Astyanax mexicanus: one gene and its partner. The protein of the gene in region 2 purifies or fractionates together with the protein of the main gene of each other region. This does not show direct contact. Links are inferred from orthologs where the notes say so. Each region holds a gene or a part of one and is shown on either strand. Other genes may lie near its edges.

Region 1 (8,206 bases), on a different chromosome or scaffold from region 2:
TTTAAAAAGGCAGACCAAAACTCCATGCTGTGTATTCTATAGCTGCTTTACTACATTTGAAATGCAGCTGTGTTGAGCTGAACACAGATCTACAAAATAGAGGACAATATGTATTTTAGTCAAGTACAGTGAAGCTAAGCTATGCTAAGCTGCTACAGAGACCACTGCATAATAGAGGTATAGCATTTCTGTTCATTATTACTAGATTAGTTACACCAACATAAAGCTGAAAACAGACTAATGTCACAACTAATAATTGAATTTTTCACATGTATGTATATATGTTTTTTAAGCTTCAGCTCCTGCACTGTCTCTGTGCTTAGAGTTAGGGACCATCTCAAAACGACCATAATTTGTAGTTATTTATTACACGGTTATTTAAATTAGATGATTCTGTTGCCAGCACAGTACTGAGTGTTTTAACCACCACAGTACAGCAGGATTGTGCGATTTAATGCACTTCCGTTAAGTATCTAGTTTCTGCACATTTTCTACAAGATGAGCAATTCACAAGGTGCAGGGGATCCAGACGTTGAGTTTGTGGAACTCATTATTGCTGAAATCAAGGCTGTAAACCTGGCTCAGGCTGCTCTCGCAGGCCCACCACAGTGATTCCTATCTTTGCACAACCAAACCTTTGTGGTGAGGCTCAGTTTGGAGATTAATTAGCTATTTAATCTGAAATGGTTAAACATGGTCAAGATTTTTACGTTTCTTGGACTTGAATTCTTCTGTTTGTTTGTTTTTATACAATTTGTTAAATCTGTTGGATTACTTGTGGCTTTTTAACTCCACTTTTTGCTTCATCATACAGAACTGAAATGAGTATCATCCTCTATAACAAGTATTAATATCTCTCTTCGCAAATATGGCATGTTTAAACTTGTTTTTTTTGTATATCATTTTTAACTTTGATATCTCTATGGTTATTTTTGCATTGTGTCACAATGGATATGGATTCAGTGTCTTTGTATTTGATGCATCAACGCGTAAATAGAGGGTACAAATATATGTTGTTAGTCTACCATGACTGTTGCATTTTTGGCAGCTATTTCATAAAAAAGACGTGTGTTGAAACCAGCGTTTAGTTGTATGTGTCATATTTCAAGTCACAGATTTTCATATCAGTCATTTTCTGTACTGAAAAAATGTCTGTTTTCTATGTGTGTCAAGCCCCACAATTCACTCCTGTACCATTTAAATCTCTCTCTTGGTGGTGTACAGTAATTCAGCATTGTTTTAAGCAGAAAGCAACTCAAGGTTGGAATCACAGGGCATCTCACAAGATGATTTCATGATGCATTGCTCACTATATATGCAACATCTGTGGGCAAATGTACCAAATATATCCATGTTAGAGGTGTCTAACAAGGTACTAGCCATGCTAAAAAAAATCAAACACAGTTAAAAGGAGGTTCTTTCTCCCTGCTAAAAAAAATCTAGCTCAAGACCAGCTTGTCTTCTGAAAAAAAAAAGCCTGTGCTGGTTGGCTAGCTCATTAACAAGCTCTTCACCAGTATAGGGTATGTTTTTTTTTTCTGGATAAATAGCTGGTCTTAAGCTAGATTTCTTTTTTTTAGCAGGGAGAAAGAACCTCATTTCATTTTTAGCTACTGTTTTCCACAGTAAACTAGTAAAATCCTTTTACTATAATATTGAACATAATATTGAATAGTACATATATCATCATTACATTCACACATGGAGCCTTATTCCCTTCCAACAACTCCTACTTTGTGTATTATATTTTGTCAATGAGTGTAATTTGTAACATTTTAGCAATTAATACCCACCCTCTGTGTCTGTATTCAGGTAGTCTTTCCTTCTGTTACGATTAACACTGTTTTTAAGGTTGTTTATATTGTACAGTTAATGTTAATCATGAAACTGAAGCATAAGGCCAGAAGCAAGTCTCCGCAATAGTATAAAGTTATCCTTTAACTCAGACTGTAGAATTATCAGTAGGGTACAATCCAGCCTGCCAGTGGTGTTGTACCACCGGACCAGAATGCGACAAATTGGATAAGTAATCTCTGAGCAGCAGGCTTTTTCCAGTACAGATTTGAGTGCCCTCCAAGAATATGCAATTTGACACAGAACACCTTGGGCCTGGACTTTCCTGTAAAACCAATTATTTTCTGACAGGTGAACATTCCTCTCTGGAACCTGTGACTGGGATCCGTTCCCTCTGTGAGAGGATTTGTTCCGTTTTGCAGATAAAGCTGAAGAGAGCTTGGAATGGGAAAGGTCTCACTGGAGGTAGTTCTGTGTTAGGCCTCTCTATAAACTCAAGCTTATTCTGACTTACTGAGTTACAGGGGAAGGGGTGGCTAAGGAGGTCTGAGTTATACATGCTGAGTCATTTCTAAATAAAGACAGTAACGACAAACAGCTGGTTAGTTCTTATTTAATCTAACCAAAAATTTGCAGTGTATCTTCAAATATCATGAAAAAAAAATAGAACATATTTTTTATAATATAATCTTTGTATTCATAATATAATTAGAAAAACTAAACTCTCAAGATTTATATTAATTACACAAGATATTACAAGTGACATATTGCAAGACTTTATTATATAACTTTACATCAGTGTGGTTTATAGCTTATAAAAATCCAGCATCTCCAGCTATTTAAAGACTTCCTAAGATAAATTTCTTTTTACCCTCAGTAGTGTGTAACACTGGGTCACACTGGGACACTGATGTGCCCGTGCACACTATGTATTCTGGTTATTGTTGATGTAAAAGTTGGGTTTGTGCACTGCTGCGTGTTGCCAAGATAGTAATGAACATCTGTCTGTTGATGTCTGTCTAAGTTGCTTTCAGCCAGTGGTGCACCTGTGTTTTTTGCTGCCAAGATAGCAACACGCCAGAAATATACCTGAACACACCTCACTTCCCGACCACCATGGCCATCAACAGAAGACATGAAAATGGAGTATTAGTGGGGTGTAAGATAGCAATTTTTGATTAGTAGAACTGAACGTTCTTAGAGCGTTCAATGTTCAATGAGCAAGTTTTCTGGGTGTCTTTATTTAATGATTTTAAACATTCTGGAAATGTTGATGCAACATAACTTGTGTCAGTGTTTTCACCTTTAGTTTTGTGACGTTAATTTTAAAGTTTCCATAACATTAGAATTATTCTAGCTGGAAACGTTATGTGAGAAATGTTATAATAACGTTGTGATGCAAAACAGTATCATGGTTTACATTATTATTACTGAAACATAATTTCTGTGACATTACAGGCTAGCCTTCCTGGAACCTTTGTAAAACATTGTGAAATGTTCTTATAACTTTAGCTGGGATACCATCAAGTATATCAAACTTAAGTGAACCCATAAACTAGTCTGGCCAACAGTCTGTATCCAGCTGCCAGAAGAAGCTGATCCACGAGCTGGATTTCACAGCCAGGCCACATAGTAATTTCTTTCCCCATCGCAATTTAAATATTTAATCAGTGTTTTATCGGCTGTGTAGAATCAGATCTGGGAGACAGTGGCCTTCATTAATCAGCATGAACAGACATGCTGAGGAGGCGGGAGAGGAACTGGCATCCTCCGTCCACCATACTGAGAATCGATGCAGTTGATCCCAGATGATATTTCACACTGTTCTCATGAATCCAGGACACAAATAGAACTTTAATTCAGTTCTGTGCACCCAAGCCACTCCAGGCCTCTTCAAATCATCTTATTAAAGAGGTCAGGTTCAAGTCTCTGCTGCCAGTTACAGGCTGGAAGCCCTGTTTTATTTTCTAAGTGTGCCACATAAGAGTATAATTATATGTGTTGTACTTACCATCTATGTTTGCATGCAGTGTAGCATACAGTATTTTATATTACAGTATTTTATTAGCAGCTTCACAGTACCAGTCCAAAGTTTGGACACACCTCTTTTTATACACTTTTTAAAAGCTTTTTTACATTGTAAATTTAATGTTGAAGATTATATGAAAGCTATACAGGTACACATGGATAATTATTCACTTTTTTGTTCACTACGAAAACAATGTGTCCCATAAGTGTATACTGTATAACATCAGCACTTAAAAACATTATTTAGGATGTTTCAATCTTTCGACAAATCATCATATTTAAGATTTCAGACTACACAGTAATAATATTTTCCGAGCTTAATCACTTTTTAATTTCATTTTCATTTATCCATACATCCACAATGTTTTTATTCTTAGCAATAATACAAATAATACAACTGATACTAAAGTGCTAGTTCTTATAAAAGCTATAGATATAAAAATAGGCAAGATGATAGCTATTTGTGAAACAGGCGGGATGACTCCAACACATTTAGTGGCAGCACTCTCAACCAATAGGTTTTTTTGTTATAACTACACAGCCAATAGTATTCTCAGGAAATGAAAATGGGGCGGGTACTGATGGCATCCGTGGGAATTGACCATAGACTGGGTCACGCAACATATTGAGTGGCAGCGCTCTCAGCCAGTAGCCTTGCGCATGAGTTCACAACCAATAATTATCTGAGAAATTGAAAAAGGGGAGGATACTGGTGGAGTCCGTGGGAATAGACCATAGGCTGGATATGGAATAGACGGTCAGAGATAGTATAGTGAAATAAGTCAGTCTTGGAAAGACATAGACGTTTAACTGGTTTAAATCGGTATTTACTCATTCATAAAAAAAACATAATATAATAATTAATGTTTTTTTTTTATTCGTAATAATAACAATAATGCAAATATATATACAAATACGTATGTGAATCGTAGTAAGTAATTTTAGCAGTTACTAATACTAAAGTGCTTGTCCTAATAAAAGCTCTAGCTGTAAAAATAGACAGGAAAATACCAGCTGTGTTAAATAGGAGGGATAGCTCCAACATATTGAGTGGCAGCGCTCTCAGCCAATAGGCTTGAGCTCTTGAGCCTTTGTTATGATTTCACGACCAATAGAAATCTCTGGAATTAAAAAAAAAGGGGGCGGGTGCTGATGGCGTCCGTGGGAATAGAAGAGTAGCGATAGTGGCCGGTTGTAGTGGAGGAGGAGGAGACAAGGGCTAGGCTTGGAGAGATAGAGGAGAAGTTTAGCTAGCGGCAGCTGGTTTTAACTGGGGATAAAAGCAGGACCGGGAGATTTTATCCTGGATTTATTCATTCAGAGGGGAAGAAGGAATAGCGTGCCTCGGCTTCTGCTGGAGGTGGGCCTCGGCCTGAGCGCCGGGCTACTGGTGGATAGCTAGCCGCCGAAGGCTTCGAGCTGCCCGGATGCTCAGAGCTGCCTGTCCGCATCTCTCGCCTTGCTGGAGCCGGCACTCTTCTTTTAAAGCCGGGCTGCGGGTCGCCGAGGACGCCAGTGCTCAGGAGAGCTCAGGCCTTTGAGGGGACGGCTTAGCTGGCTTAGGAGCTAGCTAGCTTAATTCTGCTGCTTTGGCGCAATAATGCTGGTAGTTATAATGCGTCCAGCAGCCCTGTTAGCGACGTTAGCTTCGTGAGGAACGGGGTGGGATATTAGCTATTGGGACATGGGTGGACAGTCTCGAATAAGAGGGTGGATATGTGGCTAGTTAGGTCAGCTAGCTAACTAATGAAGTAACTGGCTAGGCTAACTAAATAGCTAACCTATCTTAACTAACTGAGGTGTTATTTAGCTAGCTAGAGTGCTGACAGTGTTTTATAGTCCTGTCAGAACGAAACGTCTCTTTAGAGTGAATAGAAACATCAGAGTTTTGGCCAAAAGTGGCTAAAAGTCGTGTTCGCTGAGGTGCTAGTTAGCAAGCTAGCCAGTCAGGCAGTTTTCCTCGACCTAAGCTAACGTTAGTTCAATGAACATAGCACCTAAAATAGACTGGAATGCTTGCTATTCCTTGATGTTATCTAGCTAGTTAACCTAGCTACGCTAGTGTTTTAGCCCTCTGCCTTCAAATAGCCAACTACGCTTAGCTAAGCTAAGCTAGCTACGTTTCATTCACTGGAAGCTGCCCCCTTTAATTCCAGTCTAATGTGCCGCCAGTAAAAGCAACCGAGGCAGCTCCTCTCCTCCTGGTGTTCATTTCAGAGGACTGTTTTGGGAGCACTGTGTCATGGGCAATACAGTATCGTGCTGCGTGTCTCCCAGTGGGAGTCCAAAGCTTCCACGCCAAGCAGATCGCTTGGAGGACTACCAAATAAACACAGACTTGAGCGACGACACGGGTCCATACCTGCAGCACATCAGTGACAGAGAGCTGCCGGACGGTAGGTGTTTCCATCTATAACCAAGCTAACTACACACTGTAGGTAAGCTAACACTAGGCTGTACCACTCAATAGATCTTCAGCCTTTCTCCTGGAGATCCAACCCTACCATCCCCTGCAGGTTTCATCATCTCCCATTCAAGGACTCCTGAAGGCAGTGATGATGATGTTCAGTTCATGTGAGGTGGATTAGGTTTGGAGCCAAAGGCTGTGGGAAGGAGAAGTTGAGGATTTGATTGCATTCGGCCGGAGCAGCCTTAGTGAGACTTAGTGAGACGGTGGATGATTAACTTTTTGGTTTACAATTGCCCCTTCAACATCTCCCAGGAGTTTTTGGGATGAACTTAATATGCTTCTGGGAGATGTTTGGATTGCGGCATGATGGACCTTAACTCTCTCTTATTAAAAATGGAGAGAGTTACCCATGGTGGGTATCTTTATCAATAGGCAGTCCTTTTGTATGGAGGTTGTCCAAGCCACAATGGGTGGGTGGGTGTATCCTAAAGTAGAATCCCACCAGATTCCTTTTTGTACAGATATTTTGTCTTTGTTCTTCGAACTTAGTTTTAAGGCATGTCATGGAAGAGTATATTTTAAGTATTGGGTGCCTGAGGCAAAATTGTCTGTTAATGATTAAATATCTTTACTGCATTTACCATTCAACTTTTGGTCAGGCACTGGACACTGTTTTACCATAAATTTGTATAATATTTTGACCTAAAACATATTAAGTAGATGGTTGGAATGGGAAAGAGTAAACATATTGGCAATGATTATTGTTAATGAAGGTCATGATTCCTGTGGCTGTCTCTGTTTTAATAATTTATAGTTTTAAGAGTTCTTAAAGTGATGAAGTTATGCATGCGGAAGGGTGGAGTGAAAAATGGCCCCAAATGGAAAACTTCAAATGTCTAAATTTTAACTATTTAAAATATGTCCCTATTATACAGCTAAACAAAGCTCACAAGACGGGTAGATTCATTGGTGAATCTGGAGATCCTAAAAATGTGGTGGAATCATTCTTTACTGTAGCTAAGATCACTATTTCAAAGTGGTCTTTAGATGCTTTTGGACATATTCTTAATTTAATCAGGGATTGGTGCATGTCTTTGGCATCCCCCTCACCCCAAAACACACACAAACACTCTTATCCAGTTTCCTGAGCTCCTCTTCTTGCGACTCGGGTTACTCTTGAGGGCTCCACTGCCGTTATTCAGTTACAGAAGGGGAGTTCTTCTTCATGATCAACAACTCTGATCAAAGTAGGAGCCAACGGTAAAAAGCACTGGAGATGTTAAAACTGAAAGCTGCTAGTTGAGAGCATGCCTCTCGTTTGGGGGGTAGGTATGTCCCTCTGGGGCTGTTAGGAGAATTTACTGCTGTTTACTTTACCCCCAGGGGAGCCCTACACAGAGGTAGCATCCTGTGCAAGCACCTTTTGGGTCATGCGTAGTCCTATTGACTTTAAGAACTATGGGTTTTCGAAAATCTTGATTAATGGAAGTTGCAGTATTATGTATTGCAAAACTTTTAACAGTCCTTTGAGACTGTCAGAAAGCTGTGTTAAACTTTCTTCAGATTTCACTGTTCAGGGTTTTAATGCTATGGTATTTTTTTACCAGTATAACAGTATGTAAATTCATAATGTCTTACTTCAGTTTTTGTTTAGGAAATGCCTACACTTGTATAAGTAGTGAGGTGTTATATAGTGAATGAGGTTCAACACTGATAGTGGATGCCAGATGGATGGGAAATAAAGTTTCAAACCTAAAAGGAGATTCTGGCAGAAATCACATCTATGTTCAGTTCAGGAGGCCATATGCAGTTCTTTAACTTCGTACTTACTTGCTTAGTCCTCACTGTCCCTTATGGGACCTCTGGCCGCTTCCATGGGGCATGGTAAAAGTCATGGGACATTTTAATACTTCCTCTTGCAATTTTTTTGCAACATCAGTGTACATTCCCTTGATCACAATATTGCAATATGTT
Region 2 (7,729 bases):
GGTTGAAGTTAACAAAAGAGGACCACAGGGTAGGAAAAATCATGGTTGGAAAACTAGGATAAACTCGTATGTGGAAAAACAGCAATATTTAGCAAGGTGTGTGTGGCGTAAGGGTGTATTTATATATGGGTGTAGACAGGTGAATTCAATATTCCGGTGATTGACTTACTGGAGGTGTCATGTGCAGGGACATGTGGTCGCGTTAGAAAGTGACGTCAGTGCGTGGTGCGTTCTGGGTAACGTAGTCCAGAGGATGGAGAGCTGTGCTTCCGGCGCCAAACGCTATAGAACACCACAGAAATAAAACATGGATATAACTTACAGTAGTCAGTCTATAACATATATAGCAGTGCAGATTTACTGGCTCACCTCTGAAAAAAAATAACTTCATTCACTGCTATTAATGTCTAAATATCTGGCAACACAAGTGAATACACCTCAGACTGAACAGTGGCTCTGTGCTTTGATGGCAGTAGCCAGCCCTCGACCTCCTTACTAAACACTGCCTACAGCTGGCCCACAGTGGAAGTTCACCATTAGCATTAGCATTAATTAAGCCAAGGTCAGACGTATGGGCTTGGCCTTGCCAACAGCTAGTGTTGCATTTAATTAAGTTCAGCTGCACACAGTCCACACACTGACCAGCTTTTAACCGAGACTGGAGAACATTGCCCACATGCATGTGCATTATTTACCCCTCTTTCCCACTATTTACACTCTACAGGCATGCTATTTTTTCAATCATACTGATTTCATTGTTATATTTTATGATGCTCTTTAGGTGCTATACACCAATAAGTCATTACAATAAAAACACTGACTGATAGTTAAGATAAATAACATCTAATGATCCGGTCCCAATAGAACCTAAAAAGAAGTGAGATCTGTAAATTTTATGCAGCAAGTGAACAGTAAGTTTTTGAAGTTGATGTCCCTTATAGCAAATTTACTCTGGTCCAAATCTGGCCAAGACCACTGATAACATCTGTAACAAATCTGGCAGATAAATTAGGCCTGGCTTATTTTTGCACAGAGAGTTCAAACTTGCACAGATATGTTCTGCACATCTTATTTGATTGGGGCCAAAACTAGCACAGCTCTATACTGAATTTTATTCTATTATTTTTGCACTATAAGGATTATAAGGCACATTATGCGACAATAGTAAGGAACATGGGTGTCACCATGTTTTCCATCCAATTCAGCAGATCTTGCCGCTGGGTGGTGGTGGGGGGTAACTGTTAATTTGAGTAAGTAAAGCGCTTCTTTTTATTTACAGTAAGCTTAGATTTCCAGATTTTCACTAAGGCTGGGTGCAGCACTAGCTGTGCTTAGTGCTAGTAAATGTCGCCTGACAGCGATACGCTGAGGAACCCTATGTGTTCCGGTTAGCCAGGGTGATATTAGGTAGCATTTTTTTCCCACACAGCTTGTTTTAACATGGTAAACACGCAGACTACAGTCTGATATACTTGCCTCTGAACAGAGAAAAGGCTAGGGCTTTGCGCGGTTAGCAGCTAATGCTGCTCCAGCATTGCTAGCCAGGGTTGACAGCAGGCTACAGGCCAATAATACTCATCTTTGAACAGCGAAAGAGCTAGCGATTAGCGTGGTTAGCGGCTAATGCTAATACTGCTCCAGTCTCGGTGCTGAAAAAACTTCACTGAAACTCCTGTATAATTCTGTACTTAAGCGGAGAGGCTTTACTGCTCCTTACAACCTGATTAGTAAAATTCATACATAAGGTGTTCCAGATTATAAGGCTTACTCTTTATTTTTGGGAAAATTTGAGGGTTTTAAGTGCCCCTTACATATAAACATGCTCTAATAAAATATTAATTGATTTTAATGTCCTAATGGAAATTACTTGAATCAAAGGAAAAGCCTACAAATTACTTAAATTGTTAGATATTAAAAAAACGAATAAACATATTAATAAACTGTTTTAAACAGTAACTTACACACAGAAATCCTCTAAATAAGTGTTTGTGTGTCTGTGTTTTACTACTACCTGCTGTTGTGTGCTACAGGTAAGTTAGCTAGTTAGTTAGCATTAGCATTAGCTCAGTGTTATCTCAGACATTTAGTTAGCTAACTAACAATTGCTAAGTATAAAAAATGTAGCTTACCTGGAAAATAGTGTGAACTCCTTCCTTTTCCCCCTCAGTTTTGTCCTTCCAGCAAAATTGACGCCCAAATTATTTATGCACTGTGACTGGAACTATTTAATTAATGTATATATGATAAACATTAAACATAAATATTCTAACAACTAATGATATGTATATTTATTAACAATAAAATATATATTTTTTTTTACCTACATTGTAAATGAATATTTAAGTCATTCAGACTATACAGGAATGCATAAGGAATCATGTAGTGACTTAAAATGTTAAACAAACCAAAATACTCTGTGAAGCATTTAGGTGGTTTCTGAGGCTGGTAACTCTGACAAACTTGCTCTTTTAGTTTTATCATTACATTTTTTAAGGGTCTATGCAACTGCAGTTGAGGATTCTTTTAATGTTCTTGCCATAATATAGATTAGAACATTACTTAAATAGGTATATTCACTGTATACTAACTCTACCTCTTCTCAACTTTACAACTGATGCTCTTAAACACATTAAGAGGCAAGAAATTCAGGTAATTAACTCTTGATACAGCACAGCTGTTAACTGAAAGCCTGAATTCCAGATGACTCTACCTCATAAAACTGACTGAGAAAATCCAGCCAAGATATGCAAAGCTATCTCTATCTAAGCAAGAGGTAAAAAATATACAACATAATTTTTTTTGTTTATTTAAAATAATCCATATGCTTTTCTTCATACTTTGGATAACTTTAGATTTCAGTATCTACAATGCAGACAAATGTTAAATGACGATTAACCACAGATTTTTAAGTGCCTTCAAACTTTGGACTGGTATAGTATATTTTATTTAATATTTAGTAAATCAGAATGTTCTTTTAGCATTTTTAGCTGCTTTTATTGGAACTCTTACTTGGAACATTCTGTCTCACTCTCTCTAGAGGAGAGTCCGGATTGGTAAAAAGTGGAATATAGTGCACAAAAGATGTGCTCCAGGCCCACACTCTTGCAGAAGAGTGCTTCTAGGGGAGAGTGAAGGAGAATGAGCAAAAAAAAAAAAAAAGAAAGAGGGAGAGAGAGAGAAAGAGAGAGAGAAAGAGAGAGAGAGAGAGAGAGAGAGAGCACTAGAGCTGCTGGGGGCTCTAGTGAGTGCATGCCAGAGCTGTGAGTCACTCAGGGGCTCCACTGGCCTGGTTCTGACACCCCCACACCACTAACACACACACTAACACACACACACTCTACTTTCTCTATCTCACACACTCTCTCTTACACACCACATGGTCTGTAGGCCGGTCAAGCTTTCCAGGTTTTAGGTTTCCCCTCCTCGTCCCCATTCAAAGGCCACATGGCCACGTTGACCCTTTATAAATCAATATTTTAAAATGGATATTGATAACCAAGCATGCTTTTAGAATCACAGTAATAACACACAGTCACATAAATGCTCTCTCTCAAAATGGTATGCTCTCTCTCTCTCTCTTGCTCTCTTTCTCTCTCTTTGTCATATACAGTCTCTCTCTCTCTTACACACCACATAGTCTGTAGGCTGGTCAGGCTTTCCAGATTTTAGGTTTCCCCTCCTTATCCCTGTTCAAAGACCCCATGACCCTTTATAATTGAATATTTTAAAATATGTATTTATAACAGGTCAATCTTTCTAGGATTTAGGTTTCCCCTCCATGTCCCCATTCAAAGGATACAAAGTATGGGCTTACCTTCTATAGATCAGTATTTAAAACTGATTTAACACTAATAAACAACTAGAGCTGGATGATATGGCCAAAAATTAAACCACATTTTTTACACACATCTTTTTGAACTGCTGATGCAGCTTCGCGGAGTAGCACCACAGTGCGCTCGGAGGAAAGCGTACCAACTATCTTATACATCAGCTCACAGACGCCTTGTGCTGATCGACATCACCCTAGGAGTGATGAGGGGAAAGAGTGCCATCTACTGTACCCACCCAGAGATAGGGTTCCAGCAGCTAATGGCTAGATGCATGACTGGAATTAATCATTTCAAACTTAAATTTAAATTAAAATATCAGTAAAAAATATAAAAATAGATACAAATAAAACTTGAGGTTTCATTGATAAGAAATTAAGATCAAAAGAAGATAATAATAACAACAGCAACCTGTGTAGAACTTCCTGCAGGCCAGGCTTAACCACTATTGAGCGGAATCCCTGCGATGAGAATTCCTGGCTACAGAGGAATCTCGCTCCGGGCTGCTCCCCTGAGCATTCGGCCTGAATGGTACGGTCTGACTTGGCTGAATGGAATTTGGGTCAGTCCACTGTGCGCCACTTCCACTTTAATAGGGGGGGACGCGTTGTCTTCGCAGGCCTGTACTGTACCGCGGCGTTAAGCAACGTTTAGGTAAACACCTCAAATTAGATCTCAGGACTGTCAGCCATGTCCAGGATGTGAAACAGCGCGGCGTCGGGTCGTGTTTAGGGCTGCTTTGTGAGTGTGTCCCTCCCCACCTCTCCGGCTGGGCTGAGTGAGTGACTCCGGATCTATTCGCAGAAGCCCCGGACCGAGCGACTGCTCCGGATTTGGCCAGGCGGAGGGAGCGGGGTAACAGCTGCTGCTCTGAAGGGTTTTGGCGTGTTTGGAGAGAGAGCCTAGCTGACCATGCTGCGCGCCTGGAGGGCGCTGAGAGTCATGGCCGAGGACTACTGGGAGCACACGGCGGCTTTGGGACATTGCTAAGATTACAAGGGCACGACGGGATCTCGTCCACGGGTAAGAAAGAGCAGGGGCTCGAGGGTTTTTCACCATACGTGGTTTACTAGCTAACCTAGTGATATTAGGTCACGAGCTGGGAATACTGTTGCTTTTGCCCCAGTGCACCATAACGTTACATACGTACATACATAAATACATAAGTACATACAACTAACCTAACCTAAGATAGTTATCTAAGCTATCTATCTGCCCATGCCAGATTGCTGAGCAGCTTCAGCTCCAACACTTCAGAAACAAATCTGGTCCTGGCACAAGTCGTATAGAGCTTTAGCTAGCTATGCATGCATGCATGTAGCTGTATGTGCAAGTGTAGGATTTTTTAATGCATGCATCTACAGTATGAGGTTGGCATTGCATTGGCTAGGCAATGGTTGCTTTGTATTGGCACTGGAATGCATTGAATAGTAATTACATTGGAATTTTTTTAATTCAAAGGGTTAGTTAAAGGCTCGAGCATTTTGCACCATATGTGGTTTACAAGCAAGTAGCTACTAGTTACTTTCACCATATGTGGGTTTTAATGGGACCACCTTTGCTTTTGGCCCTAATGCACCACACCATACACACAACTAGCTTAAATGCATGCATGTCTGCATGTACAGGATGAGCTTGGCTATGCATTGACATGATAAGTAATTGAATAGCAATTGCTGTAAACATTTAATTCAATTCGATAAGGAGACAGAGATTTTTCACCATATGTGGTTTACTAGCTGTTCAGGACACAAACTGGAACCACTTTTGCTTTTGCCCACAATGCACCACACCATACATACAGACAACTACATCTAACTAACCTAACCTAGGCTAATAACTATGCCAGATTGCTGAGCAGCTTCAACACTTCAGAAACAAATCTGGATATGGCACAAGTCGTCTCGAGCTTTAGCTTGCTATGCACACATGCATGCATATAGGTTATGTATATGTGCAAGTGTAGTATTCTTAAATGCATGCATGCATGTAGCTACAGTATGAACTTGTCATTGCATTGGCTAGGCATTGGTTGCTTTTGCATTGGCATTGAAATCGAATAGAGAGAGTAGAAGGGTCAAGGATTTTTCACCATATGTGGTTTACTAGCTAGTGAGATCAGGACCCAAACTGGGACCACTTTTGCTTTTGCCCCCAATGCACCACACCATATACACAACTAGCTATGTTATCTAAGCTATCTATCTGCACGTGCCATATTGCTGAGCAGCTTCAGCTTCAACACTTCAGAAACAAATCTGGATCTGGCACGAGTTGTTTTGAGCTTTAGCTAGCTATGCATGCACTCATGTATGTATATGAGCAAGTGTAGGACTTCTACATGCATGCATTTTTGCATATACAGTATGAACTTGGCATTGCATTGCCATTGAATTGCAACTGGGGTGGAATTAAATTCAAAGCAATGCAATGTGATGCATGGTCAGAGAATGAGAGAGAAAAAGGGAGCAGAGGGCTCAAGTTTTTTTAACCATGTGTGGTTTGCTAGCTAGTGAGATTAGGGCATAAACTGGGACCACTGTTGCTTTTGTCCCAATGCACCACAACATAGACACTGCTACCTAGCTAACTACCAAAACTAAGCTATCAATCTGTCCATGCCAGATTGGTGGTGAATTGCAATGGAATTTAATTCAATGCAATGCATGGTTGCAAACAATTGAGGGTCCATGGACCAGAGAATAAGATCTGGATCTGGCACAAACAGTCTAGAGCTTTAACTTGTTATTCAAACATGTTTGCATGTATATGTTCAAGTATTGTACTCCTTAATGGATGCATGTGTGAGCTTGGCATTGCATTGGTTACTTTGCATTAGCATTAAAATGCTTTGAATAACCATTGCAATGGACTTCACTTCAGATCAGTGCAGTGTAGTGCAGTGCAATGCATGGTTGCAAATGATGCAGTGCAAAAGAGGGGATTGGGCACGGCAGAACAGGACAGATCACCGGGCTAACACTTCAGCTTGCACTAATTCCACTCAACCAGCTGGCTATAACTGGAAACTGTTAGCTAACCTAGCTCATGCAGCTCAGATTGATCAGCAGCAAGCCGCAGAGCAGAAATGCAGGAGCTGTGTGTTATTGGAGCGCGTGGCTTTGCTGTGTCCATCAGCTCTCTACAGGAAGAGGCTGTGTGCATGCATGAGGACGTACAGCAGGGATGCATTTTGCCATGCGTGCATTAAATCAGGAGTCAGATGAAGTAATTACTGGTGAGCTGCTTATACTGACACATGCAGTGAATGACAGAGCACTTGAGTGGGCTTGCCTCCCACATGCAGATTATAATGCAGCGTGTCCCCTGAGATAAGACTGGGGCTGTCAGTCAAGTGCTCCTCCACTGTACATTGTAGTATTTGTTTACTTGCTTTGACATACCTAAGCTTTATTACTAAATTGTGTAGAAATAGTTGGATACTATGCTGTCTTTTTTGATATTGAAACCTGGAGTTTTGTGATATAATATATTATAAATAATTAATATACAATATAGTACTACACTAGGTATTAAACCATATAATACAAAAATATATATTTTAATTTATATGTATTTATATTTTAGAACAAAATATAAAAACACTGGCACTTTCTTTATAATAAAAAAAAGGTTTTGACAAAAAAACTAGGCTGTCTTACACATAGCACATAGGGCAAGTCCTATGTGTAAAGATGCGCAATCTATAATATATAAAATAAATATATATACAGCTCTGGTTCTCAGTTTCTCAGATTTTGCTATTTATTAGTATATGTTTAAGTAAAATAAACATTGTTGTTTTATTCTATAAACTACGGACAACATTTCTCCCAAATTCCAAATTAAAAAAATGTAATTTAGAGCATTTATTTGCAGGATATGAGAAATGGATAAAAAAC

What was found. The genes of interacting proteins can lie anywhere in the genome.
Region 1: the proteins of cdk16 (region 2) and ccnyl1 purify together in Homo sapiens (affinity purification with mass spectrometry; 4 studies listed by BioGRID and IntAct, counting the BioPlex papers as one, with this or other methods). This does not show direct contact. The link is inferred for Astyanax mexicanus from reciprocal best matches to the Homo sapiens genes CDK16 and CCNYL1.

Annotation. Positions count from the first base shown.
Region 1 is NC_064418.1:11,190,848-11,199,053, reverse strand, and holds the start of ccnyl1 (cyclin-Y-like protein 1), read left to right. Parts: upstream 1-4,971; 5' UTR 4,972-6,064; coding exon 6,065-6,218; intron 6,219-8,206. UniProt on the Homo sapiens protein: Key regulator of Wnt signaling implicated in various biological processes including male fertility, embryonic neurogenesis and cortex development. Activates the cyclin-dependent kinase CDK16, and promotes sperm maturation.
Region 2 is NC_064419.1:4,685,222-4,692,950, reverse strand, and holds the start of cdk16 (cyclin-dependent kinase 16), read left to right. Parts: upstream 1-4,414; 5' UTR 4,415-4,850; intron 4,851-7,729. UniProt on the Homo sapiens protein: Protein kinase that plays a role in vesicle-mediated transport processes and exocytosis. Regulates GH1 release by brain neurons. Phosphorylates NSF, and thereby regulates NSF oligomerization. Required for normal spermatogenesis.